Linked DNA regions of Canis lupus familiaris. The protein of the gene in region 1 interacts with the protein of each later gene in a biochemical or structural test. Links are inferred from orthologs where the notes say so. Each region holds a gene or a part of one and is shown on either strand. Other genes may lie near its edges.

Region 1 (3,518 bases):
TAAATTACTCCTAAATTTTCCCGTCGAGATTGGATATATCATTTATTTCTCTGTGTCATCTGACATATCAGAAATCTGACAAGCATGCTTTCTGTCCCTTTACTCTATTTTTCATGGGAAAAATAGGCAGATAGAACCTGCCTTTAAATTGTCAAGCAGCTATCCCCTTTGGGATGGCCAATATGGTTCCGTGCATGGTAAGGAAACACCAAGATACAAATAAGAATTGGAGGTACAGAATGTAAACGGGAACATATGAAGGGAAAGATGACTGAGTGTCCCAGACTCTTGGAATCAGGACTTGATTCCCAACATTAGAAAAACAAGGCTTTTCTCCCTTCTCTATCCTAGAGACTTCTGCCTTTTAGGCGTATTACAATACTGTGATTATCAAACTCTGAATTTTGGGGAAAAGTTGTTTTTAAACAGCTTTTAAAATGATCTTTTCCATTTATATTTCCTGTAAAATCTGAGTTAAAGAGACATGCTTGAGGTATAAAAAGAGCTCCCAAATGCTGCTGACAAATGCCTGAGGTATAATAGATAGATATATGTTCATTTGTTTCAGGAATTAGAAAAGACCTACATTTCAATGTGAATCTGGGAAATTCACTGAGACTGAATTTCCTGAATGGAATATAAACTTAATAATTAATGTCCCTTTTCCCCAGAATGAAGAAAAATAAGCTCAATTTTGCTTTCCCTTCAAGAGCCACCCTTTGCAGAATGTGGGGCCAATCATAGAATAAAAAAGTATCCTATTGTGCCTTTTCCCCATTGTGTATTATGACTCAGGGTGGTGAACCCTGGGACTAGAGAGATGGAAAAAGAATTTCAATTAAAACAATCCAAAACCAGGAGAGAAATGTCTTCTGTTGCATAGTGTTAACATTTAAAGAATGGAGACATGTACAAAAAGCCTACTAGATCCAAAAAGAACATTTGTTTTGTACCTCTTCTGAACCTTTCCTAGAGGGAGTGACAGAGGTGGAGTCTCAAGACTGTTTTCTAGAAAATCATGTAAGTGACGGATGAACACTGGAAGTAAACCCTGCCAACACTGATGTGGAAGGTTTTTCTCCTGATGCCAATAGTCACAACAAACTACCACTCAAGTGCTAGGATATAAGCAAAGGAGAAGGAGGCTTAATTAGACAATAAGCTCCAAAAGTTGGGTGAACCAGGTGCTTCAGGCATATCAGGGTCTCTCCAAAGCAATCACCTTAAGGTTTCCTGTTAAAATACAGGTAACTACAAACAGGAAAGTCTGAGATACTGTTCCCAACATGGAGTAGCCATAGTAGGTACTGCCTTGTACTTCAGCTACTCAGGAAGACATCCTATCACGACTCTTGGGTCAGGGCCCCCTGCAGTAGGGCTTTGTCACTGGACCCCACACTCCTTGGGATTTTCCATTTCATCTCCTTCAAAGTCGGGCTTCAAACTCTTTTTTTGCTCAATTTCCACCTGCCAAAAGTAGAAGTTGGAAAGAAATATCAGAAGGAGGAGAAAAACATCCTAATAATAAATAATCCCAAAGAGAATAGCTCACTAGATTCTCTGAGATTCCCTGTAATTTTGTTACCATTTTGGGCTTTAGCCACAGTGAAGCTACTGGTCCTGAGTACATCATGATTCTCTCTTTGCTTGGTCTGGAATTCCCTCATCTTTAGGGTTTACCTGGAAGATTTTTATTCTTTGCCTTGCACAGCTGCTCAAAGGTCACCTCTTCTGTGAAGCTGTTCTCAAGTCATTAGGAAGGTAGGTGCTCCTCTTGTGCATATTTCCTGTACCTGGTATACCTGCTCACCACAGCGCAGGCTCCCTAGGACAGGGGTAGGCCCTTGTCTACTACTGTACTCCAATAAAGCAGGCATGCAGCAGGCAAGCACAAAGGTTTATCAAATGAATGAATTCCTTCCCTTGGCTGTTCATACTCTACTACTTTATTGTTTTACGAAGTCTCCAAATTGGTAAGCGTTGTACCATTTACAGTTCTACCTGTGTTTTCTGCAAAATATTGTAGCTTTAACTATAAAGGGATTAATAAATTCATCTTGCCATGAAAGTGACACACACACTGAAGCCTTTGACAAGTCAGAAAAGAAATACGTCAGGCAAGAGAGTTTCTTAATTAAAGCTGGTCCTCTCTTTATCACTTTGGATATTTATGATAAAGGAAATAACCAAACAGTTGACTAGGGTCATGCTTGATGAAAGTGCTTTTTTTTCCCCTGGCCACAAGATGGAGTATGTGTTCTTGTTGGTAGTTTAAGATTTTCGATAATGCAACTAAAGAAATATTTAAAGAACAATAAATAACCATAAAAATCAAAGGATATTATGAATTTTAAAAGTTATTAAATCACTTTGCAAAATGTGTTTTCAGTAACCCCCACTTTCTATCACTGACCTTTAATCTGCTATTGAATTTCTAACACCTCAAAATGGAATCTCTATGTCAGAACACTACAACTTTGTTTCCTCCTTCCATAGCCCTGATCCTGTTACTATTACCGAAGCTTGCTTGGCTTTTGAATTTTGTCCTGTTATAGCCCAGTGACCAGGTCATATGTGTCCTGACTTTATTTGGATCTACATCATCAACTCTGAAGCTGAAATACATGCTTTGGGTTGGCACTCTCCCAAACTCCCCACTACTTCCAAATTTACAACTCCTCCAACATATATTATGAATGAGTATATAATACTATGATGCAGTCACTCATAATATTCATAATATTATATGTAATATGCAATTAATAATATGTATTATATAATCATCATCCCTTTACCCCAATGACCCTTTTGATGATGTTCATGATGACTGAAAGACATTAATTTATTCTCCTTTTCATCTGCCTCTATATTTTTTTGCAACTTTTCTCTTGCTCACTAGAGAGGTTAGTCAGTCATTCAAATCAGAGTAGACTCATCCATAGCAATGTGGGGTGTACCTCTCCAAGTAAGAGAACACCTTGCATCCATGGCAGGCACTGATAAAGGGAACAAGAGATGGGGGAGGGGTAAACAAATGGTCTTGGAAACATTAGCCAGATGTCTCCCGAGGCTACCTTGTAGCTGTAGTGTGCGGAATAATTGACCCACTTCCTGACGTCAGTCTTGTCTTCCACGGAGATGGATCTTACAGAGGCTTTAGAGGCAGAAGTTGTAGGCATGCTGAATTCAACATTCACGTGATTGGCAAATCTGGAAGGCACTTCCCGGTCAGAGCCAAGTTCAAGGTGGCAGAAGAAACAGTGTGGGTGACCAGAAGCTATGAAAGGAAAAGAATCTAGACATTAGGTTCTTTGGAAAGATGTGAAAGGAGAGGCCAAAAGAGTCACCCCAGTAACAAAGAAGGCCTGAAGACTGCCTCCCAGCTCAGCACCGGGCAGTCTTTCAGAGGGTCCAATGCCAAGCAGAGGATTTACCTCAACAGAAATCACACTGCCTATGCCTCAGACCCTTTGATAGAACTATGTGATTACAATAGCCTTGTATCCTAGCAATAAAAC
Region 2 (3,518 bases), on another chromosome or scaffold:
AGGGAGGCGGAGGGAGTATTGCTCTTGAGATATTATAATAGCTACTGATTTAATAGGCCTGAATTTAATGTGATGGTCGAGAAGACGTCCTGCTTAAGCTCAGCCTTCAGGACAAGAATAGACTTAATCACTTCAGTGATGAACAGTGGCACTGAGAAATTATCAAAAATTTAGCCCTATTTCATACAGAGTAATTGCAGAGATGGTCCTGTACCTTTTATTAGGGCAAAAACCACTTAGGAAGAAGGAGATTTAATATCTCAGCTATTTCAAATTGCACTGGGCTGAAACATGATATGTAAATTGTCAGTTCTGAAAGAGACTTTTGAAAAAGTATTTTAATCCATGATTTTTTTTATAATTATGATAGAGTAATGTGTAGATTTTTCAGACAGAAATATGTACTAAATAGCTTGCTATTATTTTTAAAAACTTTAAAATCTTAGAGGGAGGCAATTTACCTAAGCTGCAATTTCCTAAGCACATCTACAGGAGTGTTAAAGACTGACACACAGCTAAGGTTTTGAAAGGGCTAGGTGATTTCACTGCCTCAGCTCCTCTAATTAAAGTCAGTAGCCTTTTCTGGTCACTTTAATAGCATGTTCCCTTTAATGATCTATCCCCCCTCACCCCCACCCCCCCAAGTTAAAAGATGTACGTTTTCAGTAATTAAATTGTTTCCTGCCTTTGGCTGTCAGGAAACCAACATTTTACTATTCAGAAAAACATTTAAGTATAAACTTTCCTACATAGATGTAATTAATAATGATAATTTTTGATTTTCTAAACTCATTATAGGCTCCTGAAAATTTTCAAGCAGCACAGAAATGGAGGCATCTCCAACTACATCTCTGCTGTTTTATAAGATCTTCCCACCCAAATGAGTTCTATTGATGCAGTGCCATCAAGTCTCAGGGGTATTTTTAAGATCAAACTGGAGTTGGCTGAGTAGAGCCAAATTGGAAAATCTTGTCAATTTCAGTGCCATTTTGAAGCACCACAGAGAAATCTCCGTGTAAATGTATGAACAGTAAAGCTTTCACTCAGCAGAGAAGAGAGAGCACGAAATCTGGAAGGTCAGGAGAGGCTAGGGGATGGAGCTGCAGTCTGACGACTCATGCCTTTCTGAAATCCGGATATACTTCTGGCATTTGAGTTCTACAAGAATTCTCAGATTTGACTTGCTGACAGGGGTTAAAATTCCTTTACTTTATCATAGATACAAAGCAGCCTGCCACTTTGTCTTATTTTGACTCACACACCTATACATGAAAGGCAATAAAAATGCCATAACCAAAAACTATGGAAGAAGATTTGCATTATATATAAAAGCTGAGACCACTAAAATACAATGATTTCTCTAGAAATCAATAAGAACCAAAAAAAACAATAAAAAATTCAGCAAAGAATGTATACAAGCAGTTCCCAGAAGAACAAATACAATTGGTTACTATGAAGATTTTCAAATTTTTCCACTCACTAGTGGTCAGGGAAATGTAATTTTATCATTTTTAATTTTGAATAACTATGTATAGCTTTTTAAATTATTTTTTCCAATTCTCTAAAGCAGTAAGAATGCATATCCTTAGAAACAAAGCTCCTAATATTTACCATCTTTATAACCTTTGATTTTTTTCAGCAGAGTTGTTGTATTCAATGGGAAATACATTATCTATTTTTATGTTCAAAAGAGAGGAGCATTTGAATATATTTTGTGAAATAATGAGCTTTCTAGTATGTCAATTTACATTACACTAAGGTTTAGATGATGAGGAATACCCAGTTGGTCCAAACTGAGTTGAGAGTTCAGAACCATGATTTTTGTTCATTAACGCAAAATAAATGTTTATACTGATTTCAGCTTGACAAAATTGTAAACATAACTGCTCTTGTTTTTTGGTATCAAATAGACCCATAAATCAATTTAATTCAGCCTAGCTTTCTGTGGAGCTGTTATAAAAATAAAATGGTAAACTTAAACTGGAAGCGGGGTAGATTTTTCTCTCAACATGCATTTGCTGGTGGCATGTTTCTTCCACTTTTTCCATAACCATTATAAATGTATATGTGAAACTTAGGAAATGGAAATTCTTGGAGAATCACTTACTCAGCTACCTTTCTCATAGGAAACAAGGCAAGAAAAGGCCACGCATTTCATATAAATACTCCGCTGCATGTAACAATGGTGTTTTACATGATGCTTAGCTTAGATCTCTTTCAACTACATGAATGTGAAACCTGGCCTGGTTAATAGCATGTTTATCATACCTCCGAAAGAAGCGGTTTTAACCAAAGCCAAACATTTTACCAAAGTGGACATTTTCTTTGCAACAACTTTACATTTTTCGCTTGCAATATTCTGAGGGGCTTCTTCCATTGCTTTCATGTTGCTTGCTGATTGGGAAGAAAATTCCGTGCACCAGTGGAATTTTAAAAATCTATAAGCAGCAAATGTGAATGTGTGTCAGACAAATGGATTTCCAGCATCTTAGTGCTTGCTTCTAACAGCTTGGAAGTGTAACCACAGGCCCAGGTTGATGTGGGTTTCACTGAATTCACTTGAATTCATGTATCATTCGTTTCCCTACTCCTAGGCTCTAAAGGACGATGATGCTGAAACTGGATTGACTGATGGCGAAGAAAAGGAAGAGCCCAAGGAAGAGGAGAAATTGGGCAAACTTCAATATTCACTGGATTATGATTTCCAGAATAACCAGGTCTGAGGGCTTGGGGGGGGGTGGGGGATGAATTCTAATTCCATTATGTTTTCTGAAATTACCAAGTAGGAATTGAAGCAAGATACTTCTTAAAACATTTCGTGTGCCGCGAGGGGAAAATGCAATTATCAAAGCTATTGATGAAATAATTTCTAAGTACAGGCAGTCCCCTACTTGCTAATTTAACCTCTGGTAATTAGAATTCACAGTATTCAACCGATTACATCTACTTATGGCACTTAGAGCAGGCAAGCAGAATACAAATGAACTTGGCAAGTCGTCCAGTCTGTTTCTGACGGCTCCCAGCCAGTCTGGCTCCCACTGGCCCATCAGCCTGAGCTCCAACAATCGCCCTTGGAATTCATGGCATTAGATCCAAACAGGGCGAGGAACTGTTGAAACAAACCACCATTCAACCAAAGCTTTATTTTATTTTTTATTGGAGTTCAATTTGCCAACATATAGCATAACACCCAGTGCTCATCCCGCTAAGTGGCCCCCCAGTGCCCGTCACCCAGTCACCCCCACCCCTGCCCACCTCCCCTTCCACCACACCTAGTTCATTTCCCAGAGTTAGGAGTCTCTCATGTTCTGTCACTCTCACTGATATTTTCACTCATTTTCTCTCCTTCCCCTTTATTTCCTTTCACTATTTTTTATATTCCCCAAATGAATGAGACCATATAATGTTTGTCCTTCTCCAACTGACTTACTTCACTCAGCATAATACCCTCCAGTTCCATCCACGTTGAAGCAAATGGTGGGTATTTGTCATTTCTAATGGCTGAGGAATATTCCATT

What was found. The genes of interacting proteins can lie anywhere in the genome.
Region 2: the proteins of STON2 (region 1) and SYT1 form a complex in vitro, tested with the Homo sapiens proteins (2 studies listed by BioGRID). The link is inferred for Canis lupus familiaris from reciprocal best matches to the Homo sapiens genes STON2 and SYT1.

The regions. Positions count from the first base shown.
Region 1 is NC_049229.1:53,904,010-53,907,527, forward strand, and holds part of STON2 (stonin-2), read right to left. Parts: intron 3,278-3,518; coding exon 3,075-3,277; intron 1,468-3,074; coding exon 1,384-1,467; 3' UTR 1-1,383. UniProt on the Homo sapiens protein: Adapter protein involved in endocytic machinery. Involved in the synaptic vesicle recycling. May facilitate clathrin-coated vesicle uncoating.
Region 2 is NC_049236.1:22,131,649-22,135,166, forward strand, and holds part of SYT1 (synaptotagmin-1), read left to right. Parts: intron 1-2,594; coding exon 2,595-2,717; intron 2,718-3,518. UniProt on the Homo sapiens protein: Calcium sensor that participates in triggering neurotransmitter release at the synapse. May have a regulatory role in the membrane interactions during trafficking of synaptic vesicles at the active zone of the synapse.